Lonchura striata: one gene and its partners. The protein of the gene in region 3 purifies or fractionates together with the protein of the main gene of each other region. This does not show direct contact. Links are inferred from orthologs where the notes say so. Each region holds a gene or a part of one and is shown on either strand. Other genes may lie near its edges. The genes, in order: WAPL, PDS5A, SMC3 and PDS5B.

Region 1 (7,902 bases), about 17 Mb from region 3:
AGTGGCTTCTGTGAGAAGCTGCCAGATGTCTGCCAGATCCCTTGTGTCTGATTCAGCCAATGCCAGTTGGCTCAAAGATGGACCCAGCACTGGCCAAGGCCACACCCAACAGTGATGGTGGTGGCACCTCTGGGATAACAGATATAAGAAAGGGAAGAAGAAAACTGCCCAACTGCAGCTGGAGCGAGGAATATGTGAGAGGGGGGAGGAGATACAGAAAACTGGGAGCAAAGAGCCTGGGAAGAGGGAGGATGTAGGGAAGGTGTTTCAAGATTTTAGTTTTATTTATTTTCTTGACCCATGAGCCTTTTGTTTTATTTTCTTTCCCCTAGCTAGCTGAGGAGGGCAGTGACAGAGGGACTTTGGTGGACACCTGGGATCCAGCTTGGGTCAACCCATCATGCCTGACCAGTGAAGCTCTCAGTACAACCCTGCCCTTCTTGCCCAGTCCTGTGCTGCTGCTGGGGCTGGTGCTGCTGCCCTTCCTCCAGCATGCTACTGGTGATACTAAAGTCTTAGTCACTATTTTAGGAGAACTAAAATATGGTAATTAGTTACTTCATGTGTCTTTTTACCCTCTCTCACCTTTGCTGTGCAAATAGCAAGGGGGAAATTCTCACCCCAGTGAATCAAAATGGCAAGGGCCTGTGTGCTCTCACCCATGTGTGCCTGTGACATTTGAAGGACAGCAACAGGAGCACGGTGACTTTTGGCAAAGAAAAAGCAAAAAGCACCAAAATGTTTACCATTGTAAATGGTGCTAACTGGGACATGAAAGCACTGCAGCAGCTGTGAGTGCAGCAGAACATCCTCCTCACCCCCATCCCTTCCCACCTGGGCAAGAGGCAAGGAAGGAAGCACTGCAGGAAGCTGAGAACTTGAAAGGCAAATGGTGACTAGGCTGAAAGGCAGAGGAGGAGTGGACTGAGAGGCTTTCAGCTGTGATAGGAGCATTTTAGGCATGAGGAGCATGGGGAGAGCTGGCCTATGAGCTACTGTTTGCTTCTTGGGTAGTGCTTCACAGGGAAACAGGGCGATGGATTGTGAGCTTATTCCCTTTCTGTGGGAAAAGGACTGGAGCAAGGGTGTATTATGGTGTTACTTCATGTACTTGATATAAAGGATACCTACTGCTATGGTGCCTTTAAAACCTGTAGCCTCAATCATGCTGCTGTTACTGTCAAATGCTATGTTCTTTCCATGAGGCAGCACTGAGAAACCTTCCTGACAGCTTTCTGGGAGGATGTAAATTCTCTTCATCTTCCCCAAGAGTATCTGCTGCACAGGAAACCTTCTGTTTTCCTACTGCATTGCCTCCCTTTTATTTTGGAAGATACTGAAACAGTTTTAAATGTTTTAATATTTTTGAAAGGCTCTGTACTAGGCTGTAGCTCATTTGGAAAATTCTGTATTGTTTGCCCTGCACAGGTCCTGGCACAGAACCTCAAGAAGAGAACTGAGAGGGGTCCAGAGTGTATTAAGATCTGATGTATCCAAATAACTGTTCTGTCCCTCTTATGTGTTCCTTCCTACTATGTTTTTATCTCTTTTATATCCACCTTTGATGCATTTGAGCTGTGTTTTTCAGGACTTTCTGACTTTATTATAAGCAGCAAAGATGATAGTTTCTTTTGGGAGGTTAGGGGGGCAGGCAGTAATGGGAAGCTGTAGGATTCACTTTGGTTTTCCCAGAAAATTTTTAAGGTAGAAAACGTACAGTTTGAAAGTGGCTGCATATCTCCCACTGCTGTTATAATGAAGACAAATGCCAGTCTGAAGTGCTTCATAGGCTGTTTTTTTTTGTGTGTGTGAAAGGATTTATGTGGTTGGTGTTTTGTTCTGGGGTGGGTTTTTTTGGGGGTTTTTTGGGGGTTTTTTTTGGTGGTTTTTTTTTTGTGTGTGTGTGTATGAATGGAGATGGCAACTATCAGTAATATAATTTCACAAAAAGCATAAAATGCCTGTTAAATTCCACTCTCTGAGAATGAAACATAGCTACTGCCAAATGCAGGTGGGATTTGGCTTTTATTTGCTCTGCCATGGTACTTGCATATTTGAGGTGAGCCAGATGCAAATGGAAATAGCAAAGTGTAACGTGTTAACTGCTAAGCTTATTAAGATGCAGGGTGTCAAAATTTTCAAAGTACCTTAAGTATGTTGGGGCAGTAAAACTGGCACATCTCTGCTGTTCTTGAACACAACGAGGTTTGTTTTTCCCATCATCATCCTACCAAAACGCTTCACTTACAGGCTTCTGCTGGTACCCAGGATAGGATAGGCAGCACATAAATAAGTTTAATTTATCCTCTGTTAGTCAGGGGTAATTCCCTCATGACCATGAATCTGCAGTGGTTTGGATTATTCGGCGAGGTTTTTACAAAGACTGGAAATACAGCTAGAAATATGAAGCTAGCCCAGGGGTATAAGGTGTGTAAGAACCTTCAAATACATCTAATTACTATCTGGAAAACTCTCTACATTACTGTATAAGTGACTTAGGTAGTCCAGGCTTTACATTGGAAATAGATCTAATTTAATTTTAACTCTTCCAGCTTCATATTAAAATAGAAACAATTTCCTAATAGTTTCTTGGTGTTGCTTCCTTACTCTTCACTTTTCTGGCCATATTCTTCACTTTTTCTGATTCTCAGGACAAACTCTTATGTTGTAAAGAACTTCTCAGAGCCTCAGTGTTTCAAGCTCTCACAGTTGTGTTTTCCTCTTTGTCTAACAGATCAGTCACCAAGTAAGACTATGCAAACTGAAACAGGTTTAACTATCCATTTTACTCTTGGAGTTTAAATGAGCTATTTAGTGGCTCTAATCAAGAATACTCTCAGGAGAAAAATCTTTTCACTTTTTGTAGTCAAATTATGGATTTTAAAGTCTGTACCATGTTTTCCAGGGGCTCTTCAATAACTGAGTCAGGTGATGAGATAGAGGTGAGCTTGTAGGCCTTGTCTGAGATACAACACAAACCTCAAATGGAACTTATACTTCTCATTGCAAGGCCCCGTTTGTTTTATCTCCACTTTTTCCAACACTGCCAGATGTATACTGAATTTAGAGAGCATGTTCACAGCATGTTTGTGCTTCAGAAGTAATGCCTGAAAGCTCCAACACATCAGTAGGGATGGGGCAAAGACCAGATTTACTCAAGAGGATCACGAAACAAAACCAGTCTTGCATCTTTTTATTGTGAGGCAGTGATTTTGCATTGGGTAAAGTAAATATAAAATTAAGAAAACACCTAGAGGTATTGAGACAACTCTAACATCTTCTGCGCAGTCAAATCAGCCTTTTAATTAGTTCTGCGTTTGGGACTTGTAAAGCCTCAAATAAAGGTTTGAGTATGAGCATGTGTTGTGAAACCATTTTAGACTCCAAAGTTGTAGAATTTCACTTGACTTTCCCAAGTTCCTCACTCCTTTGAAAAATTACTAAACTACATCTGCGTGATGTTGTTTAATGTTTTTCTTGTCATGCATCCTTACTATTCTATCCCACAGGGATGTTGTGAAATACTACCTACAGAATATGAAATGGTGTTTTTGGCGACTGTTGGATGTCCGTATGTATTTGCTGCATGATACAATCCTCGTGGAGCATTTTTGCTCTCCGCACAGTGCGTATCGTTAATTAACGCCTCAAAGGTGTGCATAAATCTGTGGGTGGCTGTAACAGCTTGTGGAAATGGGAGCATGTGAGAGGCGCAGTTCGGCAGCCTGGGCGGCCCTTCCCGCAGAGCATGTTTCCTGCGCGGAGCGGATGTGCAGGCCGGCTCTGCGCGCCCAGCGTGAGTACCAGCCCAGGGAGCGCAGGGGCTCCGTGCCCCGCACGACGCACCGCAAACTTCTGTGGAGTGCACGCAGGGCCGCCTCAGCGCCTGCCGCCTTCCCGATCCCCCGGGCAGGGTTCTGCCCCTCGGCGGCTGCACACGGGCCGGGCCGCTCCGCACCCCTCGGCGTGCGCCGGGACACACCTGGGCCCGGGCGCCACCGGGGTGGGGCCGCTCGCGGCGGGCCCCGTTGGCCCAGCTTTCACAGCCTCCGCGCGGGCCCGGGCGGAGGCGGCCGCGGGGAAGCGCCGGCTCCCGCCGGGCCGAGCCACCCCGTTCGGTCCCGGCTCGGGCCGCCCCGCCGCGGGGACCCGCCCGCCGGCTCCGGGGGCCGGGCCCGGGCCCCGCGGGGCCCGCGCCGCGCCACAAACTACAACTCCCGCCGGGCACCGCGCGGATGGGCGCATGCGCGGAGGCGGCGCGGGCGGCCGAGCGAGGCGCGCGGCGATTGGCCGCGGTGGCGGGGGGCGGGGCGCGCGCGGTGACGGCAGGAAGGAGCGGGGGCAAATGGCGGAGAGATGGTCCCGGGGCCCGTCCCGAGCGCGGCGATAATCCCGGCGCGGAGGAAGCGGCGCCGGAGGAGGCGGCGCCGGGGGCCCTGACGCCCGCGACACCCCGGGAGGGTCCCGCTGCCGGAGGGGCGGAGGCGTCCCGCGGGCTGAGCGCCTTTCGCAGGCGGCGCTTCGGCGGCCCGAACCCGCGGCCGGAGCCACATCGGCCGGGCCCGCGCCCGGCACCGCCGCCACCGCTGACGCCGAGGTGGGTGCGGGGTGAGGGGGCGGCGGGGGCCGAGCGGGCCGCGCACCCCGCGGGCTGCAGCCGCCGCCGGGCCCCCGGCGCTGTCCCGCCTGCAGGGGCGTGCGGGGCCGCCGCCCCCGGCCCGGCGCGAAGTTGCGGGGCGGGAATTGGCTCGGGCCGGCGCGGGGGGGTGCGGCTCCGCGGGCCGCGGCTGCCCCGGGCACTTGTGTAATGTGGGCCGGTGGGGCGGCGGGGCGGGCGAGGCGGCCGCGCGGGACGGGAAATGACATCAGGGAGCGGCGGGGTGACCCGGTTCCGCTCGCACCCCCGCCCCCCCGCCGCAAGGGGAGGGAGGAAAAAAGAAACTGTCACCGTGGGATTTCATCAGCTCCTTCTGCCTCCCTGCATTTAACCTATTTTTCTTTCCTTTGATTATGTAAGAGGAGCGGTGTAGAGAGGAGCGATGAGTAGGGGTGGCCGATGGGCTTCCTGGGGAATTACCGGGTTTTTTGTCCCCAGCTGGTCCGCCGAGTTAGCGCTGGGAAAGGAGAGAAAACTGTGGTTTTTGGGTTTTACGTGTCTTTACGTTGCTTGTATTGCTCCAAATGGTGCAGCACAATGCAGGCGAGGGAGGCAGGGAGCGGAAACAGAGTGAGATTACACCAAGTGTTTTATTTCCGTCTGAGAGAAAAATCAAGAGAAAATTGTGAGTAAAGAGAAAAATCCTGTTCTGTTGATGCTCTCGTGTAAGAAAGCACCTCTTTATGCTCTTAAATCTAAGATATAAGAGTATAGCATAGAGTATTTATATTTTCCTAATACTTTTAAACTGTGCACATTATATTGAGTATTAATTCGGGTTTTGGTGTTTTGATTTAAAACTTATGAGATGAACATAATTTTAAAATTTATAAATAAGAAAATGGAGTTTACTTTCTGAAAATTAACTCCTCTTGACTACAGGAATCTTCCCTTTGGAACTGCAAGCCCCAAGCTATACTTTAAATTTGTCATTAGTTTGCATAGGTTGGGAACATAGTATAAAAAATACTTGTCTGAGTACTTCTTATAGTGCTTATTATAACTAATACTTACTTGAGTCTTGAGGGTGTAGGGAAGGAAAATATGCTGGTGGTCAGTGAAATGGTTTTTTCTTTCCTGTAAGTTGTTAGAAACTGAGATATTAGTAAATATTTTACTTCAGCTTCTACAGTTCAAAAACCTGGCTATTCTGGTGTAAAATATTTTGGTTGCTGTTACAAATATTTACAAGCATCAGCAAAATAAAACTGGTAATTTAGATTTTGTTTGCTGTTTGCTTTCTAAACTATGTGTAGATAGAAAACACAAAATTGGAGCTCCATGCAGAGGAGAAAGAAAAGGAGTTTGGCAGTGATATGTGTGTGGAAAAGAGGAGGTGGGATTCAAGAGCCCTGTCTCCTAGGAACAGCCAGGAGCCCTCTGAAGAGTGGCTTTTGCAGCAGAGTTCTGCTCAGCAGATGAGCACCTGCCTTTACCCTCCCTCAGCTGCACCACGGGGGAAAAGAGCCTTTCCCAAAGTGGGTATTCCTGTAGCTCTTCTGCATTGCATCACCATCCACCTGGTAAACTTCTGAAGTTCAAATGTGATCATTTTAATGCACTTTAAATTTTCTCCATGGGTTTTCTCCCCGTGAATTGCTTGGTTCCAATGGTAAGTGAAGGTTGGTCTGGTCTAATAGAGGGAGACTATTATAGTGAGACAGTATTGCTAGAATGAAGTGATAGAGGGACATTTCTGGAAGGCAGTCTGGCAATTTTGGCAGAAGCAAGACTGCCACTTCAGGTTGAGAAGCTGTGAGTGCTGAGATGAAAACTAAAATAGGAATGATGGTATGTCACATATTCGGGGAGTAATAATAAAAACAGTTGTATTGAACAAATAGATCATTATAAGTCCAATAAAATTATTTTAACTGCCATTTTTCATATACTTTATATGAAGTTAGTTAACATTTCAAAAGTTAGATTTCTTTGATTCTGTACCTTAAATAACTGTCTTTTTTAGCAGACTTTTTTCTGGTATGGAGAGGTATTTCAGAGAGAAGGATGGAATTGATTAGATTCAGGCTGACTATAAAGAATTGCAATTTCCTATCCATGTTTGGGCCAAAAAGAGAGAAATAGTGGTTCACAAAACAGATATGAGAGTTTGGGGTTTGTGTTGTCATTTGTCCAGCAGTTAGTGTTTGTTTTTGGGTAAAAATCTTTGAGTTAAACAAAATTAGAAAAAGAGCACATACAAGGAACTCTTAAATGTGTTCCTGTTTAATGTGTTACTTTTACACTTCTGTTCCTCTGAGCAGGCTGTGGAGCAGTTGTGCTTGTAAGAGCCAGTGAGCAGTACTGGTTTACATGGGCCTGCTGAAGGTGTCCTCCATGTTCTTAGAGGTGGATTGAGCAGTGTCTCTGTTCTGTCCCTTGACGAATCAGATTTACCTGTGGGGGATTGTTGTGCACCAGTCCTGACCACATAATGTTACCAAGTAAAACAACTGTTACGTGAGTCTGAGTGTGAGAGATGAATGTGGGATGGAGTGGTCATCATTGTGATTAATTAGTACTTAAAATACATCTACAGCAATGTGAAATATTCTCTCAGTTTTTGTATTTAACTGGCAAGAGATTTTTTTTATGCCATGCTATGCTGTTGGACTCTAGGAGGGAGCTGTGTGTTCAGATGTGGTGAAAATACTGCTGAGTTGTTTCATGATATTTTATGATAATGCCTTCTATACTTGAAAATATAAAATTAGAGAAAAGCAATACCATTCTTAGAAGATTTTCTTAACGACTCATTGTGCCATTGGTTTATAAATGTGCAAGCAACTGAATTTCTTTTTATTTTAGTGGGTGCTTAGTGCAGAACCTTTTGCCATAGTGACAGTCACATGTCAATGAGTGCATCTAGAAAGAAACACGTGATGGAGCTGTTGGTTGTGTGCAGTGTACATGCCTGGTGCTTGTATGCCCAATAAAGGGTGGAAGTAACAATAATTTGTACTAGAAAAGTGATGAATTGATGTTTCTTCTTTCTTTCACAACAGAGAATATGAAACAGGAGCCAAAATGACATCCCGATTTGGAAAGACCTACAGCCGGAAAGGGGGAAATGGCAGTTCCAAGTTTGATGAAGTGTTTTCCAACAAACGGACCACCCTTAGTACAAAATGGGGAGAAACCACCTTCATGGCCAAATTAGGACAGAAGAGGCCCGGTGTCAAACCAGATATTTCTGAAGTTCCTAAGAAACCCAAAGTTGAAGATGAGGTAACAGAGGATCCATT
Region 2 (7,533 bases), on a different chromosome or scaffold from region 3:
ACATTTAAAGTTCTAGAAAGTTATCTTCTGAAGAAAACTTGAAGAAATTGAACAAAACTTTTTCAAGAATTTCTATCCCAAGCACAGCATCACCATAACATTCCACATACCAAAATGCATTTGCTTTTGTAAATTAAGTTGATATAAAGAAGCTCGAACTTCATAATGAACATACACATTATACAAAAGCATAAAGAAAAATACATTCATTGGTTTAGTTCTAGAGTGTACAGTACTTCCCATTTTCTTAATGCTTCAGTAAAGTCCATACCTGACAAAAAAAATTCCTCTAATTCAGATTAAACAGTACCAATACTGTAAGAAAAATCTTTCTCTTTAGTTTCAGACAGAAAAAGAGTGTCAGTAGGTGCAGCAGCAAAGTATTTTTTTCTATTTGAAGTTACTCTCAAATTTTTTGGCTGTCTGAAGTCCGTAACAATAATTCATTAAAAAACAACAGGAAAGAAGTCTGCTCTTAGCCTGGAAAGCATGTCTAACACACACATGAATTCAGTAAAACATGTATATATGATTTTGAAATTTCATTATTCCTATTATATAGAAATGACATAGTTCACCATTCCAGATCCACCAACTGGGACAAAATAAAATATTTGTTTCAAGGATCACCTCGAAACTACATTCCTTTACATTCCACAGACTTTAATCTGAGGTATCTGTCTAAACAGTCACAACTCTAGTATCCTCTCCTGAAACTGGCAACACTCCACTGCAGTTTTGAAAATACTAGGCCAAACTTGTCCATTCAACAATTTTCAAAACTATAAATGGACAACAAGGCTCATTAAAAAAAAAAAAAAAAAAAAAAAAAAAAAAAAAAAAACACTTTTTAAGCCTAACTGCTTAAAAAACAAAGCACAAAGCCTATGTTCTCCTCACATTTATACCTAAGAAAAATTTTTAATGTACTAACTGACCTGTCCAGACCATGATTTCTATTTTTCAGTCTTTACTGTCATGGGAAACAGATCATCAGATGATAGAATATTTCCAATCTCTAGAAATTATTACTCCATCCTGGGCATAGGACCAAATCCTAGGTTACAAAAACCTTTGGTCCAAAGACCATGGTGTTAACAAATGAGCTGTGTCAATATTTGATCAATGCTCAACTTAATTCTCTATTTTCAGCATGGACTTAAGAAATAATCCTACTGTATCACAGTAGCATTTAATTTTTTTTGCAGTGGAAGAAGGAATTAGTAAAGTAAAAAAGAGGCAAGACTTGCACTCCTCCAGGATGCTGTCAAACAAGCAGAGAAGATGCTTTTCTAGCAATCCGTTTTGCTCAAGAAAATTTAGCAATTTTGTCAATTACACTAAATAGGAAAAAAACAGTATGTATCACACTAAGTTAAAAAATCTTGAAACAGGTTTTACATTTGAAACTATTTCAAAATTCCATCCATAAAGTCCACAAATTAAGCTTTGTTTTTTGCAAACAGTGTGATCTTTTCAATCATAAATACCCTTATGTAGACCTACTTGTTTCCTCTGCTCAACTATACTTTCTTCAAATGCCAGAACCCAAAAAACCACCTGGCTTGCAAAAAAGTTTTGCTAGCATATCCTGTAATTATTACTTATGATTCCACTTCGAATCTCCTCTCTAGACTGTGGATATGTTTCGTGTACAAATTAGCAGTTAATGTATCAAATCCAGCATTGAGAGAACGCACAAGAGAACAGTAATGAATTACAAAATATGGGAAAAATGGGTCCTCCACTCTTAAGGAAAAACAATGAAGTCATATTCCCTTAAAGGTCTGCAGGCAGGAAGGACAACAAAACTCTGGCAGTTCTCCATTCCAGCGATAAAATGTTTACCTTAACAAGTAAAAGTTGCAGGGAGGGGAGTGGTAGTCAGAATTGCTCACCTTTAACCGTTTAACCACCTCATCGTTGGTAATTTTGTCCGTAATCTCCTTCACTCCAGGAGGATAGTAGATGATTTTACCGTCGGCAGCGGGTTTTGGTTGGGTAGCAGGGAAGTCCATCCTGGCGCTGCTGGTTATAAACTTTCCTTCTCCACAGTCCTCTACCGGCCTCTATCGGTCAGAAAACAAAAGTTCAGCAGAATGGAAACGACTTTCTAACCCTCTTTTTCCATTCCTCACCCTCAATTCGCTGAAGGCCCCGGCTATCGCCCCGCCGGCCGCGCCCCCCAGCGCTGACCCCGCCGCATCCCGGCGGGAGCGAGGCCCGGCCCGCCGCCGCTCCCCGCGACTCGGGCCTCTTCGCTCCCCTCCGGCGCCTCCTTTCATTGCCAGGCTGCTCCAGCCCGACACTGTTAGTTCGCAGCCGACGGTTTTACAATGAAATTTGGGGCCAAATCGAGGGATACCCCGCGGCCGAGGGCCCCTTACGGCCCGGGGGGTGGGCCGGGGACGCCGTTCCCGGCCCCAGGAGATGGCTCAGAGCCGGCACACCGGCTCGGAGCCGGGAGACGAGGCCTAAACAGTTAGGCCTCAAAACTATCGGGAGGCAGAGAAGCCAACAGGAGAGGGGGAGGGAGGGAGGAAGGGAGGGAGGCGGCGGAGAGCGCAAACAAAACCCCCCCGCGAACCCCCCATTCCCTCAGAGCCCCCCGCCCGCCCTCCCGCGCCTCCAGGAGCTCCCCCGGAGAGGCGGCCCGGCCACTCGCCACTTTCCATTTGTTCCCGCAACTTCATGTCCCCTCAGCTCTCGCCCCGCACCCCCCCCACCCGCCCCGCCGCCCCGCATTCGGCCGGGCCCACAAAGAGCCCCCCGCAGCCCCAGCTCCGCGCACACACCCCCGCGGCCGTGGGGAGCGGGGAGCGAGCACGGGGGGAAGCGGGACCCGGAGCCGCCTTTACCTCATGCAGCTCCGGAAGGTGCAGCATTGAGCAGCCTCCGTGCCGGGTGGTGCTCGCCGCTCCGCCGCCACCCCGCCGGCCGCTGCCCTGGGCACTCCCGCCGCCTCCTGCTCCGCGGCGCGGCAGCTCCTGCTCGGGAGCGCTGGCTGGGGGAGGGGGAGCGGCTCGGTGGCGGCAGCAGCGGCAGCGGCGGCGGCCGGAGAGAGGGGGAGGCTCGGGCGGAGCGTGCGCCGCGGGCACCCAGCGCCGCTCTCCGCCCGCCCAGGGAAGCGCAGCCCGGGCGGAGCCTGCGCGTCGCCCCCGCCCCTTCCCCTTCCCCTTCCCCTGCCCGCCCGCGGCCGGCGGCGACGCCCCGCCGGGAGCCCGCAGCCCCCGCCCCGGGCAGAGGGCGAGGCCGCCCAGTAAGTCTGGCACCGCGCGGAGCCGTGCGCACGGAGGGCTGGAGCGGCGCTGCCTCAGCTTGGCTCCTAAATCCCCCCGGGGCGGCGATGCCCGGCTGGCGCCGAGCGGCGATGCCCGGCTGCCGGCAGTGTCAGCGAGCGAGCCCGCGGGTTCGCGGCTGCAGCGCGGGAAGCGAGTTACTTTGCTGCTTCCTTACGGAGCCCAGGCCGCTCGTGGCTGCGCGGGCCGGTCCCTCAGGCGTCTGGGGCCTGGTCAGCATGATAGAGAAGAGTGTGCGGAAACAGTGTGGGGGGCAGAGTGCTGTGGCCGGCGAGAGTGAGCAGTCCTTCTTCAGGCAGATGAGGGGAAAGAGGAGTATCCATCCTTTGGTTGTAAATCTTAAGGAGAAACTTGACTATGCAGACCAAAGGAGCCCTCGCCAGCCAGCTCAGGAAATCCTTCCGTGCAAAATGTCTTTCTAATTTAATATTCGTATTTCGAAGGGATGGGGTATGTCTGGAAAGGCAATAACAAAGTGGGATAGATCTGTTTGTTTTGAATCTGCAGTATGTACCGTGTCGTGTTTGAAGTGTAGGTGGCTATGAAATATTTTCTAGATGCCCATGCTGCTCAGAGAAGATGTGTGACAGCTGAAAGATGACTCTTAACTGATCAAGACTAATTTCAGGTCTTCAGCTGTTTATTTTTGTTATTCAAACCAGCTAAAAGTATTATTTTTCTTAATTTTGCAAATCTCTAATGAATTTTCTTTAGAGCAAGTTGAAGGTGGGAGGTCAGGACTAGTCTCCATGGAGGGATGTTTCTCTCCATGGGGATTGCACAGGTATGACAGGAGCCTCTCTACGCACAGCAGGGTGGTAGCTAGCATGGCCTGGCAGTGGCAAAGGAAAGGTGCAGGAGGGTGAGGGGATGGGATAGGGGTAAGTAAGATTATGGTGAAGTATGCCAAATTCCAGCTTTACAAGGTGCGGGTGGAAAACGTACAAAGACTGAAAAGCTTTTTGGAGCTTCAGGTGTAATAGCATGTGGGTAGGAAATTGCTATCCTACACTTGTGGTCCTCGTTTCCCTGCATTGTTGTCCTAGGGGAGTTAAAGCCTTGAGTGTCCACAGCCTCTATGAAACCAGCTTAAAAGGATTATAGTGAAAGTGACTGAGAGTTGCAATGAACACTTGGAGAATCTCAGACACTGATTTTGAAATTTAGAAGGGTGTCATCAAACCAGGCATTTAAATCTGGCTGTGAATCCAGACTTAGATAAAATGATTCTCTGTCAGCTTAAGGATCAGTGGATTTGGACATTGACAATAGACAGGTGACCCTAAGGTTGTACTGATTTTAGTAAATAGATAAAGCATGTAATCTTTTTTCCCAATCTAAACTGAAGGGGCTATTTAGATTTGCCTTAATGTTGAAGTACTGAGACTAGCTATCAGCTTTAACTTGTTGTCAATCAAATGAGATGTACTGTCAGAGCTTATATACATTGAACATATATTTGGGTCTTTTATCCTTAAATTTGTTACATAAGGTGCTTCCTTCTCCAATCAAATTACTAATATAAACCATTTGGTGTAGGTTCCTTATTTTTAGTACACTTCTGATAGCATAATAAATTAGGAACAACTCCTGGAAGATTATTCTGTAACTAAATAAAGTATGTATATCAAAAACCTATATGAGCTCTTTTCACTTTAAATAGGAAAATAATCTAAGTAAGTAAAAAGCAATAAATTAATTGAAAGAGTCCATTGCTAAGGTTTTTTTCATGAACCAAACATAAAGCTAGAAAGATGTTAGGCAGACTTCTCTTTGGGCAGAATTGAAGTGCTACAGGTTTTGCATTCCAGAAATTTGACCTGTCTGAATTTCATGGATTTTGATATTTGTTTTCAAATATTATTTAGTTGTTATTGAAAAGCACTGTGTTATGTACATCATTCGTGTGATCTACAATAGCATAACTTCTTGTTGTAATCTTGTAGTTAAAAGATTTTTTTTCAACAAACTGACGCCATTTTTACTTAGAATTGTTTATACAATGGGTTGTGAAGTAGGACTAAGAACATAATGGTTAAGGGCTACTCTCCCACAACTTGCTTTTAGTCTAAGACAAACACAATGCAAAGCCTTCATTATGCAATTCTAATCACTTTTATTTTTCACCAAATAAGATAATGTCTTGCATTGTAAGGAATATGTACATTGAAAGTAGCATGTAGTTAGACAAGGCAATTAAAAGATTTTACTTGAGAGAGCCAGGCAAGGTTTGCTCATTCAATTAAAATTCCGTTTCATCTTGCAAAGTTCTTAGTGACTCCCCACACTGAAGTACTCTTGGCTGTGGACCAAGATCTTTCTGTCTTCTTTCAGATTTCAGATAAATAGTGAAGTTAGAATAACACAGTAGGTCTTGAAAGGCATCAGTGGAAGGTTGACTGTCAAGGAGTTTGCACAAGATTCCTGCTTTTATGGGAAATGAGTGATTAGTCAGCAGTATGTTAGCCAGATATGTAGTGTTTTGAGTGAGTCTTGGACAAATCATATCAGCAAAGTGGCTGAGAGGAGTAGGTGTAAATTTCTGTAATCATGGGCTGATTAGGCAATGGTTCTATCTTTTCTCAGAAGAGCAGTGGGATTTGAACTTCTGCACCATTTGAAATTCTAAAGGGCTAAAACAGAGCATGTAGATTCGATATCACACCCAATTAATGAACACTTAACTGCCAATTAGTTTGAATATATGCATGGCATTTTCAGAATGTAAAAACATAAAAGCTTCAGATAATCTGACCTGTTGCACTCCTTAATCTGTATAGTCTTGAAATCTGCTGTCATCAAATACAATTACAGCTGCTAGTCTCTGGTTTGTTGCTTTTGCTTGTTTGACCTTCACCCTTCTAATTTCAGCAAGCAGCTGAGATCTGACTTGGACTGTGCTTGTACAGCTGTAGCCAGGTTCACATGATCCCTTGGGTTTTACTGGATGGCTGTCTAATAATATTACTGAGTCCTTTAGTCTTTACCCAGATTTTACTGTTTGCATCAGAATTTTATTACCTTCACTCACATTATTTTTATTGGTATGTATTTGCTCTGATCTGCCTTTGTTTGTTTTGATTATATTTTAGACTATGATTGCAATTGTTATTCATAAGCAGACTGAAATAAAGGGTGCCGAATACCTGTGTGTCAGCTTTGTGAGGCACTTCTTTTATTGTATTGTGATAGGACAGGTTCAAGGAAATGATCAAGAAAGGAAAAATGTGGTTTTATTGGTAGCAAAAATAATGCAGCACAGGGTTTTCAGAACAAAACACTCTTTGGGTGAAACAGAAGAGAGTACGGAGTGATTACTTCAAGCATAGAAAATCCTTTAATTCATGTTGATCAAATTAAGCTATGCTCACATGCTTCCAGAAACTGCTTAGTGGTTCTCCTCAGGTCTTTATTAAGACAGTAAACATAGATAGTAACAATGACTAAGAAGTAAACAGTGACATTAAGACATGACACTGTGTTGTGAACTGCAATAAGTAATATCTGTCATTGCATTATAATATATCTTCGATAACACCACCTAATTGTTTTAACTGCCTATTTTAATAATTGATGTATTTTACATCTGCTGTAAAGTGAGGTGGGTCAGAGGTGAGTTTCTTGACAATGTGCATTGCTATAATGAAAAAGCTCCAAAAGGTGTTCCATTCCAGGGGGTATTTACAGTGAAATTACTCTTAGAAGAGCCCAGGAAGTGAGCTTTGCCAGAAAACCAGGGACTTGTATATCTCCCATTTTCTACATTGACAAGATAAAATCGGTAAAAGAGGACTTATGTGTATTATGTCATAAAGACAGTCATGGAGACACAAAGTGCTCCTGTGGAAGAATCTCACTGCTCACTGAGTCTTCATGGAATAGTACCAGTTCTGAATAAAGGGAAGGACCACACACTGTATGGATGATAAACTCTTTAGAAACTGATCCATAGCCATGATTTGTCTGAATGTTATTTTTGCTCTGGTTTTGGTAAGGAGGACTTCTCCATGTGCTGCCTAAAAATGCCTTTATTCTGAATCATGCTTGGAAATAGGGCAGTTATCACAGAACTATAGAATAGTTAGGGTAGAGAGGGACTTTAAAGGTCATCTAGTCAGTCCAGTGCAGTAAGCAGAGATATCTCCATCTAGATCAGGTTGCTCCAAGCCCTGTCCAGTGTGACCTTGCGTGTTACCACAGATGAGACATCCATTACCTTTCTAAGTAACCTGTT
Region 3 (7,421 bases):
TACTTCTCAATATTATTAGTGCTGAAGCTTAAGATATGAAATTACTTAGATTTTTTGTTTGTAAGGTCTGTGGTCCCATCACCATTTTCTATTTCTCTGAATACATTGTTCCTTCTCTCTTCAAGTATTAAAGTAGCTCATACTCCAGAAACTGAGCAGAATACTTTTTATTCAACCTCAGCAAAAAGCCTAGAAGTAGTACTGCAAACATTTAAGCAAGCCTTTCCTCACTACCACAAAAGCCTCTATTACATGTACACTCCAGCACCACAAGAAACAACTACCTTCAGCACTGCTTTCATATTCTGTCAGCATTAAACAAACAGTGGGGGAAAAAATCCTGCCCACAAAAAGTACTGGACAAAAGACTGGGAGAAAAAAAATGCCAATATTTATTCATGTCAAGTTTGATCTTCAGTCTTTCTCCCATTATGTGACAGGCCACTAAAGTATTGTTTTGGAAAACTCCTCTTATCACCTGTTTGTACTAATGGATTAAAACCATCTCACTAATATTGAATGAAAATGCCGTGTCAGACAGCAAATCAAACACTGGAATTTATAAAAACCAAAATGAAATGCCACTTTAAGACATTAACTAACTTTTAGTCAGAATTCAAGAGACCTTCTCTTCCCAGGAGGCACTGTGGCTTTATGGTCAAATTCTCTTTGCAAAATTATTTCATTACTGGAATCCAAAGGTAGGCAGCAAATTACTAATCCTTGACTATCAAACATCAGAGCGAAGCAGAAGCTACTCTGGAAAAGGAACAGCCTTCCACTGCAGCTTCCTTCAATACTCTGCCCACCTTAAACCTCTTCTGAACTGCCAATCCTTAGGCCAGACACCGTTTTCTTTAACCACCTGCACTGTATTCAGATCCACTGCACTGGAAGCAATCAAAGATTTCAGAACTTAACGGACCCAACTACAGACAGCAAGTTTAAGACAATGTATGGACTGAAGACTGCCCAGGTACTGTGGCTGTGAACACAAACACCCGACCTCCCCTAAAAAAACAGTCTTTTTCATCTGCCAGATGGAGACTTTAGCAGCAAGCTCTGTGCCAGCAGCTTTCAAAGGAAAAGCAGGAACAGAATATCTTAATCAGATCCTGCCACTGACCCTAGGCCACGGCAACTATGTTCATTCATTTTGATTTAACATATTTAACAACAAAAATATTTTTAAAATCCAAACATTTTGAGACAGTGCTGCTTCCAAACTCACTAGATTTCAAGGGGAACGGGAGAAATTAAAAAATGGGCAAAAAAGTTGGTCTCTACCACTTTTCATTTTTTCACATAATATATAAAAATCATCTGAATTGGAATAATGCATTTATTCTCATAAGAACCTGGAAGCCTCTACAAAATGACAAACCCAAACAATTACTATTTCTGGAATATTGCTATAGAAGCACAAACTTTCAGCAGCCACACACCCGGGCACCAAGGGAGTGTGATACAGGCAGGCTCTGAACACCATCATCTTCTCCCCAAAGCTTTTCTCTAGATGGTTTATCACTTCACCCATCCTACATATTCTGAAACCTCATGACTTCTTCATTGCCTTGTATCAACTCAGATTAAGACTTAAATATTTTTAATGTTCAAACTCCAGGAACAATTTCTGAAAAACAACAAAACAGGGGATACTGATGGAATCAAATTAATTCTCATTCTTTTTGTTCTCACACCCGCACAGTGCTACACTTTCTTCTATAGCCCCTATAACAGTATTGGTTATTGGCCACCCAAATTTCCTTCTTGGTGTTTTTGTCAAAATGAAACGTTTCTCCTATTCTGAGCTAATTTAGACTTACTCTATAGATCTCCACTACTGCTTGCTTTTCAGTAATTCAAATGTGGAGAACAAAACCTATTCAAAGTCTTTAAAGCAATGTGCCCACCTATGATGATTAATCAAGAGTGATTTACAAAAGTACAATCAAAAGGCAGGCGTTTGAAACACCGCCCAATCAGCCAAACAGTAGATGAAAACCTGGTATCTATGAAGAACAGGCATTTCAAAGCTAATAAAGTATTCTTCTTAAGAAAAGCACCTGCAGGGTGTGAGAAACAGGTCAATTTTGAGTCCACCAGGAAATGAGAATCTTGGTAGGCTTTGTATGAACACACATATGCAGTAATACGAGAGCAGTAATAAAAATCTGCTGCTAAACTGGCTGCAGGGAAACTGCCGAAGTAATATAATGATGATCTCAAAAACTGTTTGAAAAAGGTGTATACAAAAAGGTGTATACCAGGATCCTTTTAACTGAGCACCAGCCATAGATCGTTTGGCAAGGGTGAATCGTAAATGGTTCATGCCCGGGGGCCTGAGACAGCACCCCAAGCAGAGACCCCACAATGTGAACGGCTGAAAGATGCTGCTGACAGCCGAGCAGCCCTTTGTTTGGGTACGAGCGGCCGGGACACCGGGGCTGGCGTACAAAGGGGCCCCGCGAACAAGTCTCGGGTCCATGAAAGAGACCCTAGCGTCTCTTCACACCTGCAATGAATGAAAGGGGAGCAGAGAAGCAGAGAAAGCACCGCCTGCCCAGCCGGCGGTAGGACCTGACCCGTGGACGGGCCGGGGGCGCCTCCCTTAGCCTGGACCTCGATCCGACCCCCGGGACAGAAAAGATCGAAGCAAAGGACCCCGAGCCCGCCGCAAGCCCGCGGGCCACCTGCTTCGGGCCGGGCAGATATGAACGTGCCGAGCCCCCAGCCCAGGGGCGGGATGGGCCAACCCCCTAGGCCAGGCACAGGCCGCACCGCACAGTGCGGGCGGCGCGAATCCCGCCGGCTCACCTGCTTGATGTACATATTTGCCCAGGATGGGGGAGGCCCGCCAGGCTGTCGTTCAGCCCGCCCTCGCCGTCTCTTTCCGGTCCGAACGCTCGACTTGACCGCGGGTCTCCGCCGCCGCTTCCCGCCCCCTCAGCCGTGCCCCGCTCCCCGCACAGGGCCCGCTCACCCCTCACGCAAACAAAATGGCGGCGGACCCGCCCCGTCCCGTCCTGGCGCGAACCATCCAGCGCCACTTGGAGGGAGAACTGCGGAGCAGAGAATGCTCTCCTGTACCGCCGAAGAAGTGACAACGCGTGAAGCAGCGGGAATTTCCTTTTCCAATATTCTAAAGTGCCTCGGTGATCTTTTGGAGGGCGCTGCGTAGCGGGGAAGGCAGAGCACCCTGCCTCCCGGGCGCCGGGTCCCCCCCGAAGAGCTGGGAGAAGTGGTTTCTCCCGCCGAGGGGCGGATTGGGCGCCAAAGGCAAGTTGAGGCGAGCGGGGCGAGGGGCTGTGCGCGCCTCTAGGGGGCGCTGTCGGGGCCGCCCTGAGGGGCCGCTTGCGCGGGAGTGGGGGCAAATAAAGGCTCGGTCTGAACACCCGGCTCCCGTTCCAGGATCTAAAAATAATTCTTTTAAATAAAAATGATGATAAAAAATAGGCCTTAAAGCCTGCACTGATGCGCCCCTTGTCGCAGCACAGCCGCTCCCTCAGCCACGTCCTCCAGGCTGTGTAGGGCTGGGGGCCGAGTTCTGCGTCCACAGGGCGAAAGTCTGGGCGAAGCCAGGCGGGTGCCGGGGTGAGGTGGCAAACAGCGATGCTGCGAAGCATCCTCAGCAAAATAGCTCGGCTGGAGTCCGTGCCCGCTCCTTTACCTCGCCGAGCCACTATCCAGCTCCCCGGAGGAGCTGTCAAACACACAAAAAATAAGCAAAATGGTGGGAGAGAAACATTAATTTTCACCTAATCTCTTCCACTTACGGTGATTTCAGGTGTTGTTGTGACAACAGTCGGGGTGCGACATCTCAGAGAAAATGCAATTTTCGATTTGACAGTGCTCCTTCAAAACTGCAGCTGGAGCCAGCACTTCTAGACATGCCATAGAATTCTGCCTCTGAGCCTCTTAACACTAATAAAAACTAGATTTAAACAGAAAGTTTCTGCTTCTCCTAAAATAATAGATGGATTAATTACTTCTCTTTTCTAATGGGAAAATCTCACCAGTCGCAGACATTCTTAAGTGCCATGTAATTAAATGGTTTTGCTAACAGCCCTTCAAGAAGCTATTGTAACAGATTTTACCAGTACCTATAAAGAAATGGTCCATTGCTTCTTCAGAAAACATAGGGCTTAAAAAACTAAAGTGTTTAATGGTTACTCTACAAACAAATTCAAAATGAAAATTTCCTGCCTGTCTCATTTGGCTTTTAAATAGCTTAGTTCAATGTGACTGAAGGAAAAAATATTTTCTCTATCTGCATTTCCAAAATCCCTTTCATTTTAGGATTTCAGGGAATTTTAAATCCTCAAATAAATCTCACTGTATCTTTCTGGGATTCGTTTGTGATACTAAATTTACCCTTCTTTGCTTTTTCTGAGGTGAAGTGAGTTAGATATGCCCTGTAGTTCAGGTCCCACATGCCTGGCCCATCTCAGGACACCCCTGGCAGGAAGGAGAAGAGAGTTTAAGAAAATAAACAAAAGTCACATTCCCCACTTTTCCTTACAACACAATTAAACTATTTTGCACCTGGTTAAAAGAATTATTTACATCTATTTTTATGTTAATATTATCATGCAAATAAATGGTATCCATTTACACAACCTAGATTACACAGATTTTTTTTACACGTTCTAAGTAAACCTGGAATTCTCTGGATATCTCCTCACTACCAATCTCCTGCTAAAGACAGGTGGATGTAGATGGTAAAGTTCATTCCTCTTTGTCTTCTGCTTTTAGAGGTACAGGACGCCTTGAGTCACACCTTAGAGATTTCCTTTGTAGTTCAGAAGCTTATTTTCACTTAATCATAGACTGCCAGAGCAAGGAATTAATCTTCCTGCCCTAAAGATGGGGTTCAGAAAAACCAGCTGAGGAAAATTTGTCTGTTCTCTTGACTGCTGCAATGACATTTTTGTGCCTGAATTCACCAAGTCTTCTTGAAAGCCCTGTGTCGAGCCAAACAGCCCACATCTGGTGCTCCAGACAGATTCCTGTTGTTGAGGTGCACCAAGAAGTGCATCACTCTGTTATGAACAAGCACAAACAAGGACCTGGCATCTCTTTTATCCCCAGGTGTTCATTCTCTCTCGAGGACTTTGGATATACAGCACACTCCAGCAATTTGGAGAGGGCTCGTGTGCATGTAAATGTGCACAGACACCACATTATATTTATTCATAAGAATAAAATCACATCCCACTGATATTCCATCAGCAAACATCCTCACCAGTGTGACGTGCTTGCAAAAATAGCAACTGTATTCATTAAGGATTAAGTGGCAAATGATTGTCTGGTTCAAAGAGTGTTTCAAATACTCAAATAAGGCCCCTGCACACAGGTTTTGCCACACAGCTTTTAGAGATTGTATTTGAGGAAGTGGAGTGGTGGGGTAGGTATTATATTTTCTGTTATTCTTTCGGTTTTGTAGTACTTGCTGAAAATATGCTTCCAACCCAAGTGTGATGCATGTAATTTTTATTCTGTCAGGTTGCTGTGGCTGTAGGAGTGCAGAAAGCTGGCAGCTTGTAAAACAGCACTCTATATTGAGAACCTGCAAACATATAATCACTGCTTGCTACACGAGGAGTTCACCTTGCTTCCGTAGGTGCTGCAGAGATTTTTTTCCATGGCCCTGCTTTATAAGCAGTGTTTTTGCATAGTTATGCTAGAATTAGACATTAGCATCAGAAAGGAGGAAGTGGGAACACTGCTTTAATTCATCTAGTCTTCATCAGCATAAAAATATGTCAAGCATTTCTTTCATTAAACTTACCAGGAACATATAGATGGGAATTCACTTCTGTAGATTTTTTTCTGTCTTCTCAAATAGTAGAATTTCTCTCAGAAAAAAAAATGTTAAACCTATTGCAGGGAGGGACAAAGCACTTGAAGTGTTATTAACCTCTTCTATTACCACTTTCAATTGTGAACCAACACTTGTATAGGCTGCTTTCATTCATGAATGCTTGCAATCACTGAGGTATTTATTGCCTTTTTCAAATGCCTGTATAAATCAGTATGTGCACTGCAACATCAATCTCTTGTGCTCCCATCGCTTGAAATCATCAGGGGAGGCAGAACTTCTGGAGACTGTTTTTCTTAGTGCTGGTGTCGCAGCAGAATCTCAGGAGCAAACCGGGGAACTTGGATTTTAGTTGACACTTTGATTAGACCCTGCAATTTGAACTCAGAAACAGATAGTCCGATGTTCTACGCCCAGGCTGGGAAACAAAGGCAATGAGAAAGTGTCTTGCCCAAGGTCAAGCAGGGTAACAGTGGGACAGCCAAGAATACCTCTCCTCCTAGAACACCTGTTACATGTAGCGAGTGTAATTCGCGCTAATATAATATGATATGTATAATATTTGATATTGTTGGAAGCACACGGGCTGGCATTGGGAGGTGCCCCCACATATTCGAAAACCGGTTTCTGACAAAACCTTATTTGCAACCTAATACATGTTGCTCGCCCGGAGATGGGTCGTTCTTCGAGGTGATACAGGAATGCCCAGGGGCTGATCATCCTGGCAACGACCCTAGATGGGGCTGATACAGCTGAATGCCGTGCTCCCGTAACTCCATCAAGAAGATTCATCACCACCCGACACCGAATTGTTCCACCCCAACACAGACAAAAGAGATTTTATGAATATGTGGGACTTTGAATGGGAAGAAAAGACGGATTCCCCGAAATCCCGGCGTCAGGAAGAATATTTCCTATAAAAACTGCTTGTGCCAAGAGGATGGTGTGTGGGCATAGGGGGAACCTCTGCCGAGGCTATCCGCTCTGTGATGCACCCAGCACCGATCCCGGACTCGGCACCGTCCTTTTTCTTGTGGCTGGCTCAGAGAGAATTCGATCTTAAAAATAAAATTTTAATTTTTCATATTTAATTTGGCTGTATCAATTTTTATCTATAACACACCCAATCCTAAATCCTAAGGCAGCAGGGCCATAATGCATCTTTCTCTCACCTTTGAACTCACTAGAGATCCCAGCAGGTGAAGTAGGAGAAACCAATGCTTTCTTGACACACCCTGGCACATGCATCCACCTCAATGCAGACAACCCACCAAGCTTTTGCGGGACAAGGAGCACTTATGGTGAAAAAAATGCAAGCAAACCAGACATGGACTTCCTTTCCAACAATTTCTTTTTGACTTGAATAAATTACTGAGCTCTGCTGCTCTCAAACCCTGTAGTGACCTATGCCTTGCAATGCACAGTCTGACTCCTCAGCAGCACCTGCAGAAATATCTGTAATTTTGACAGCGAGCAACTGCCTGCCACAAAACTTAGAAGTGGGAGCCCTAAGCCTGTAAGAGCCTTTAAAGAATGTCAGTTTGATAAGGGCTGGATGTAATTACAAGTTGAGATGCTGGCTGCACAGCATTAGCCAGTG
Region 4 (7,595 bases), on a different chromosome or scaffold from region 3:
TCTATCAGTGCTGTTCAGATGCTCCAGAGGGTCTACAGATCTGGAAAATGAACACACTTCACCACTAAGCACTATCACACTAACACACCTTTTAAAAGTTTCCTCAGTTTTTTCCCTTACCACCTAGTTTCAGAATTGACTGAAAGCCTCCAGTATTCTCTCAGTCTATCCGACGATTATTTCAGGTTCAGTACTGATATTTTGTGATAAGAGTAAAGACACCATTACTTTAGATAGGTGTTAGAAGAAGAATGATACTGACAAGTGGTAAGACAATGTTGAACATATCAGAACTACTTGTTGATTCTAAAAAGGAACTTCTCTGAAGTAAAGACATACCTTCCTCTTTCTTGGCATAATATTTGGGGCAAGCAATATAAAGGAAGAGGATATTAGAGTGAAACTGATAGGGAAAAATAATGAATTGCAGTATCACATTTTCCTTCCATCTCAAATTTTGCATACTTTTACTATTCAGCTTCACATTTTCTTATTTGTTGCTCCCATGAAAATTCTCCTTGTGCAACAAGTAGTCTTTATCACCTCTCCCAATTCGGGTTTAAAGAAATAAAAACCATTAACACCAAACACCTTTAAATGAAAATCCTTTACTAAACCAGAAGACTCATACCCATAATACACATACACCCTCTTACTCTTCTGTAAAGCTATAAATTGTGTGACTGAATGAAGAAAGAGGAAAAAGGCATAAATTGAAAGCTTGGTAGAGAGCAACATCCCAAAAGAAAATGCATCTCTCCCAATTTATAGGAGGTAACAGAACCTCCTGTTCTACAGGATAAAAATGGATAATGCTTGAGGTTATGCCCATATTTCATTACTGTGCTTTCCCAAATGGTAGCAATGACTTTCAGCTTTTATATGGTCAATTACAACTTAATAATGACTTAGGTGACTTGCTCAATTTCAGTTCATAAGTACTCATGTTAGATAAAGTCTAAATTCATTATTTACAAGAGAAAAAAGAAGTTGTATGCAAGTACTAAACATATGATTTTCCATTTTAATTTAGTTGTTTCATTAAAAGCTGAACCATAGTTTATCCAATCTGTATACTAACTAGTAAAGAGGATGCAAGAAACGCATAGGCAAATTCTACAGTATAGTATCTGTATAAAAATCCCAAACAAAACACCACACTCCACCCAGACACATCATACCCTCAACCTTACAGTAATTAAGTTCAACCTTGCTTCAGACACAGACACAAGATGTCATGCAAGTGCTAAAGTACTAAACTACTTCCTCCAGCAGTGCACCGTTTCAAACGCTGTGATGCACATGATACACACACCTCTGCTAAACCACCTTACCTGATGGCCTGTCACTGTCAGTCTTCTTTCAGGTGGTCTGAGCATGGCATACATTCAGCTCTTCCACTTCTTTTTGAAGAGTTACTTTACACAGTGTAATATCTAGCATATCTAACATAAAAAACATACCAGGCAAAATTTCTACCACCTGAAAACTGAACAACTCCACTAGTTTGAAAGGGGAAAACCTGAAAGAATGCACATCACCGTACTCCCTTCCCAAAACGTGATTTGATGCTCATTTTCAACTATAAAGCCACTCAAATTTTCAACGCTCTTTCTACTCCATCCCCAGTGAAGAGAAATCAATTACAGCTAAAGCACCCACCCGGCAAGCACAAAACAAAGACCAACACGAGAACGCTTCAGCAGTTGTATTAAACGGGAAAACATAACGCCTAACTAAATAATCAAAGCTCTCAGAAAGCAACCACGAAGCTAGCAAGCATAAAAGTCGGAATAAGGCTAGCAAGACAAAATCCAGCTCTGTAGGAGCCGGTCTGCTGCAGTTTAATTTCCAGGACTGTTGACCATCATTAATTGTCGATTTGTTTTAAAGAACAGATAGTGATTTACTTGCAGCAGGATGAAGTTACGGACCTAAATTCCTGACCGGAGGCTCTCAACGTAAACAATACATAACCTATAAATTAACCATTCTCCATCTGGCAATTCAGATGTAAAATTCATAGTTTTCCATCTACCAGGCGGCGGCAACCACCCCCCCCCCCCCCCCCCAGCTCCCCCCCGTTCTCCCTTCCCGAGCCTGATGCAAAGTGGGAGGGAAAAAGAAAGAGGAGGAATGGAAGGGGGCAAAAAAAAAAAAAATTAAAAAAAAAATTAAAAAAAGCTAAGCCAGCATGAAAGAACCGGGCTCGCACACAAGTAGGAACGCAGCAAACCGCGGTCCCCGGCACCTCTTCCCGCTGAGGAGCACTGCGAAGTGCGGCGCGGAGAGACCGAAGCGGGCGCGGAGGGGACGGGGATGTCCCCGCGCTCAGCCCGGGAAGCAGGCGCGCGGGGCGGCGGGAGCCCCGCGGAGCGGGGAGCAGGCCGGCTGCCCGGGGCGCGGAGGAAAGGGACACCCGGGAAGCCGCCGCCACTCACTCAGTCGCTCCTAGCCACGGGCGAGCAGCCTCCCCACCCCCCCTCCCCGCCACTCCGCGCCGCGAGGAGCCACCAGCGCCGGGCGCGACACCGCCCGCCGCGCCACCGGGGCGAGGGGCTGACCCCCGGGCCCCCGCGCACCCCAGCCAAGGTCACCCCATCGCCCCGGGCGGCGGGCGGGAGGGGGGAATTCAGTATTTGACGGCGGCCACGGAAAAGGGGGGAGGGGAGCAGCCCCGCGGAGGGGCGAGGGGGATGGGAAGGGGGAGCTCCACCGCGGGCCAGGGGAAGCTCTGCCCTCCCGCTCCCCCTCTGCTGCCCGTCCGCCTCCAGCGCTGCCCGCGGAGCTCGGTCCGGGCGGGCGTCCCTCACGCCCCCGGATAGGGAAAATGGAGCGGGGACGGGGTGGGGGTACCTGCGGCCGAGGTGCCGCGCTCCTTACCCCACTGCAGCCGCCTCGCCTCGCTGGTCGCAGGCGGGTCCGCTCCGCGCTGCCGCCGCTTCGGGCTCGGAGAGGCGCTGCCGCCGCCGCCGCCGCAGCCAATCGCCGCCAGCCCCCTCCCCTTCCGCAGCTCGCCCCGGTCCCCCTGCCGGCTTCAAAATGGCGCCAACTCGTCTCCGGCTGCTCCAATAGAACCGCCGAGGGGAGCGAGCGCGGCCAGCGCGGGGCAGCAGCGCCCCCTGCCGGCCCGGCCGGGGCTGAGGGTGGGCCCGGGCCGGCTCCCGCTGATGTGCGCGCCGTGGGCGACTGAGGCAAACGCTTCCCCAAAACGGCGAATTACTAAAGGATTGTTGTTAAAAAAAAAGGAATAAAGCCGCTTAACTGAGGAGAAAGAGCAGGAAAAGTAGCATAAGTCACTTTGCTCTTGCTTCAGTGAGTGCAAGAGTTTGAGGGGGGCCCTTACAGGAAAACGCAAACAGAAAAGTAAAGGTGGTTTCTTCTTGCCACTGCAGCTAAAAGGCTTCATTTATTGTAGAACCATAGAATAAGTTGAAAAGAACCCATGAGCATCATCGAGTCCGGCTCCTGGCCCTGCACAGCGCCGTCCCCAAGAGTCACACCATGTGCCAGAGAGCATTGTCCAAACCCTTCTTGAACTTTGGCAGGCTTGGTGCTGTGACCCCTACCCTGGGAAACCTGTCCCAGTGCCCGACCATCCTCTGGAAGAACTTTCCCCTGACTCATCAGGACAGCATGTAAGTGTTACAGGATTATGATTTAAAAAACACAAATCACACTTAACAGACCTTCTGAAATATACCCACAGCTTCGTCTAGTGTGAAAAACACTTTGACAAGACTGTTAGCCAATACATTGTAACTAGTGGTTCAAATCTCTCAGAAGCTTTCTGAACTTGCTAATATATTGTACCCAGCATGCCTTATCTTTATTCAGTGCTAAACTACCTCATTTTCTAATACAGACTACATCAGCCCAACAAGAACTATTACATACAAATCACTTTGCAGGCTCCCAAACTCCCCTTGTTGTTTTTTTTTTTTGTTTGTTTGAGTTTTTTGGGGTTTTTTGGGGTTTGTTTTGTTTTGTTTTGTTTTGTTTTGTTTTGTTTTGTTTTGTTTTGTTTTGTTTTTCCCAGTGACTTTTTCCAGGGATTTTTTTCCCTTCTGGGAAAAAAAGGAAAAAAAAAAAAAAAAAAAGTAGAGACATAAAAGAGCAGAAGGTTTGTCTGACAATTTTGTATTGAGAAGGATCCTGGACTTGGAGTCGAGATACAACTTTTTGATGCAGGTTGGATAATTTCCCTTCAAATCCCACATTGCTGTCTATCTGAGTTCATGGAGTATAAAGCCTTAGATTGGGGAACACATCCTTTCCCAGTGGAGCACTTGCAGATGTCTGCAAGGATACTTACAAAGCAGCAGAAAACTGAAATACTTTTTGATCTCTCTTAACACTGCTATTGAAATTGCAAAACCCAGCGTATGCCTGTGAAAGCAACCGGGGCGCTGAGATGGCTCCGTTGTGCTCCGTTTTTCTGATGGAGCAGGTACAGTACCACCACTTCCAGCGCCCGATCAGGACGCCAGGAGCGGCGGGCGCTCCCCGGAGCGGGCCAGGGCGCTGAATAACGGGACGCCCCTAGGCACGCTCCGCCCTGTTTCCTGCCTGCGCCGAGACCCCTCACGATGTGGGAATCGGGGATTTGGAGGCGGCTCTTCAGCCGCGCTTTCCCGCCCCGCCCGGGTTCGGCAGTGGCGCGCGCGGCCCTGCGGGGGGCGCCCGCCCGCCGCCGCCGCGCTCACCGCCGCGGGAAGCGCCGCGAACCGAGGCTCTGCCTGCCGCGCGGGCCACGCGCGCCCGCTCCCTTCCCCGTGCCGTCCCACCCGGAAAGATTGCCAGCCCTGCCTGTGTCCCGACGGCAGGCTCAGCCTTCCCCGCCAGAAACGTTGCATCTCTCATGGAACTGGTGACTCGAAGCAGGCTTGCTAAATTTTAGGGGATTTGCAACCTTCGGGAAGTGTAGGAAAATTGTGTTACTTACAGAAACAGCATACTTGAGAAAGATCGAAAATATTTGTGCAAAATAAATATTTTGCTTGCAGTAAGGCATATAAGAAATGTCAGTGTCACAGAACTTCCAAGACCAGATCTTTTACACAGAATCATAGAAATATTTAAGGCTGAAGAACACCTTTGAGATCTCTGTGCCCAACCAGTGACTCAGCACTGCTGAGTCCACCACAAAACTGTGCCCCCAAATGCCATATTTACATGTCTTCTAAATACCTCTAGGGATGTTCACACCACCATTTCCCTGGAGGGCCTGTCCCAGTGCTTGACCACCCTTTCAGTGAAGAAATTTTCCTTAATATCCTAAACCTCCACTGGCACAACCTTGAAGCCATTTCCACTTTTCCTGATACTTGTTACTTGAAAGAAGAGAGTGATCCCCTCCTTACTATAACCTCCTTTCAGGCAGTTATAGAGAGCAATAAGACCCCCACAGCCTCCTTTTGCCCAGACTAAAGAACCCCACTCATTCAGTTGCTCGCCAAAGGACTTGTGCTCCACACTGTGTGTGCTGAAGACATGTTCCATATCTCAGTGTTTAAGTGACAATGATGAACATAGTCAAAGAACACCCTTACACAGCAGTATTCTTCTCACAGCCTTCTGTCTGTAAAAAACATTGTGTGAAAACAGAAGACTGCAGTGACAAGGGCCTTTTAGTCCCTACTTTATCAGATTGACAATCTCTCCCATTGAATCATTTTAGTTATCTCTCTCAATTCATTCTTTAAAATTGTTGTGTTCTTACAGACCAGAACTGTGCACTGTATTCAAGATATGAGTGCATTGAGATTTCCCTCAGAGCAGCAAACTGCCATTTGTCTTGCTCTCAGTACTATTCCTGATGACACCTTACATCTCTGTTGTTTAGTGTTTGGGTTTTTAGTTTTTGTGTTTTGGTTTGGTTTGGTTTGTTTTTTTTTTGTTTTTTGTTTTTTTTTTTTTTTGTTTTTTTTTTTTTTTTTGTTTTTTTTTTTTTTTTGTTGCTGTTGCAGTTTCAGTCAAAGATTTCAGAAAGCTGACATCAGCAACTTCAAGATTTCATGAACTTAGACTTCCAAGTTTGATAGGTGATTCTATGCTTTACCTTACACTGATCTAGTTCTCAAAGCCTATCTTTTTACCCACCCCCTTTTGTGAGGCCTTCTGAAGTTCTGAAGCACCTGATTACCTGAAAGAGTTTAACATCCTACATGTGTCATTCTGTGTGCATTCCCTTTTCTAGGTTATTAATGAAAATCAAAGATTGTTGCATAAAACAACATAAGGAAGCCCAAACATTTCTGGGAGAGAGACTTGCTGACTTTTCTCCACATGAGAAAGTAACCAAAAGTACTCTCTGCTTCCATCCTTCAACCACATTTCCAACTCAGCATCGGACATTTACATCAATTCCAGTACAATTTTGTTTGACAACTTGTAATAAGAAAGGTGCAGAAATGCTCTTTAAAAATACAAGTGTGTTCCCTGTTTTGTCCTTGTCCATGCACTTCCTGACTCACAAACCTGCTAGAAGTCTGTGATAGAGTCACTATCTCCCTTCACAGAAACTACACTGGCCCTTTCCCAGCACATTATCTTTATGCATTGGCGCTGTGATCGTACTCTTCTATGGTATTGACCTTTCAGTGTAAGTATGAACAACTGTCAAGGTAGTATCTGGTTTGTGAAAATGATACTTTTTGTTTCCAGCATAGATAAAACACTTCCCTTTGTTTCCCTTTTAATTGTCACTCTAAAACAATTGCATCAAAAGTATTTTACTAGCAAAACAATTCAGATTAAATATATGTAATTTATATATTGAGCCCTTCACACTGAAAGGAGCCTTTGACGTGTAGGAGGGAGGCTTTCTACTTGCAGGTGTACTGATTTGTTTTTTAGAAAGAAAGATTTGTTCATTTATTGGTGTTCCTCTTCAACTAAATAGCTGATAATATTATGAACTTGCATTAACTTTGCAACTAATTTTAGTATCTCATATGTCTCTTAAGTAATTTGCAAGGAAGCCACATGGAAATAATGACTTTATATGACTGGAATTTTTAGACTCTTACTCTGTGTGTGTGTGCTGTTTCCAACACTGTCTCCCTGTAAACAAAAATCAAACAGCTACATAAGACAGTGATGCTCAGAACCTATTAGCTTCAATATATGTCCAATATAAATTCTGAAGTTTAAAAGTACCACTTTCGTCTTAGTGCTAATAAGTCTGATTCTACCAGAAATACCTATTTGTGCCTGTCTTGTGGCTGTTTTCTAATAGGAAGACAAGAGTCATTATGTACTATATGGAATTTCACAAAAACAATCAAACCAAACCAAACAAAACCCAACAAGAACAAAACTAGAGAGGATACAAGGATGTGATGTTATTCTTCAGTGTGAGGACTGCAGAAAGCTTTTCACTCCACCCACTCCTCTGCTTTCTTCATTAAATAATTAATAGCTATACTGGGACACCATTAAGATTAAATGACCTACTAAAGTAAGTCTGTCTATTAAAGCAAGAAGCATTACGCCCTCACAAACATGTCCTCAGGAACAAGCTGTAGATGTATATTTATCTCTGACTTCTTCCTAAAGAGGTCATTGCCTAGTTGGAGACATGCATGGGAAGA

The links.
Region 1: the proteins of SMC3 (region 3) and WAPL purify together in Homo sapiens (affinity purification with mass spectrometry; 7 studies listed by BioGRID and IntAct, with this or other methods). This does not show direct contact. The link is inferred for Lonchura striata from reciprocal best matches to the Homo sapiens genes SMC3 and WAPL.
Region 2: the proteins of SMC3 (region 3) and PDS5A purify together in Homo sapiens (affinity purification with western blotting; 8 studies listed by BioGRID and IntAct, with this or other methods). This does not show direct contact. The link is inferred for Lonchura striata from reciprocal best matches to the Homo sapiens genes SMC3 and PDS5A.
Region 4: the proteins of SMC3 (region 3) and PDS5B purify together in Homo sapiens (co-immunoprecipitation; 7 studies listed by BioGRID and IntAct, with this or other methods). This does not show direct contact. The link is inferred for Lonchura striata from reciprocal best matches to the Homo sapiens genes SMC3 and PDS5B.

What each region holds. Positions count from the first base shown.
Region 1 is NC_134609.1:5,932,828-5,940,729, reverse strand, and holds the start of WAPL (wings apart-like protein homolog), read left to right. Parts: upstream 1-4,896; 5' UTR 4,897-5,181; coding exon 5,182-5,282; intron 5,283-7,662; coding exon 7,663-7,902. UniProt on the Homo sapiens protein: Regulator of sister chromatid cohesion in mitosis which negatively regulates cohesin association with chromatin. Involved in both sister chromatid cohesion during interphase and sister-chromatid resolution during early stages of mitosis.
Region 2 is NC_134606.1:23,095,194-23,102,726, forward strand, and holds the start of PDS5A (sister chromatid cohesion protein PDS5 homolog A), read right to left. Parts: upstream 3,009-7,533; 5' UTR 2,886-3,008; coding exon 2,859-2,885; intron 2,070-2,858; coding exon 1,899-2,069; intron 1-1,898. UniProt on the Homo sapiens protein: Probable regulator of sister chromatid cohesion in mitosis which may stabilize cohesin complex association with chromatin. May couple sister chromatid cohesion during mitosis to DNA replication.
Region 3 is NC_134609.1:22,966,375-22,973,795, reverse strand, and holds the start of SMC3 (structural maintenance of chromosomes protein 3), read right to left. Parts: upstream 3,001-7,421; 5' UTR 2,833-3,000; coding exon 2,818-2,832; intron 1-2,817. UniProt on the Homo sapiens protein: Central component of cohesin, a complex required for chromosome cohesion during the cell cycle. The cohesin complex may form a large proteinaceous ring within which sister chromatids can be trapped.
Region 4 is NC_134604.1:67,448,404-67,455,998, forward strand, and holds the start of PDS5B (sister chromatid cohesion protein PDS5 homolog B), read right to left. Parts: upstream 3,017-7,595; 5' UTR 2,884-3,016; intron 1,424-2,883; exon of another isoform or gene 1,335-1,423; intron 1-1,334. UniProt on the Homo sapiens protein: Regulator of sister chromatid cohesion in mitosis which may stabilize cohesin complex association with chromatin. May couple sister chromatid cohesion during mitosis to DNA replication.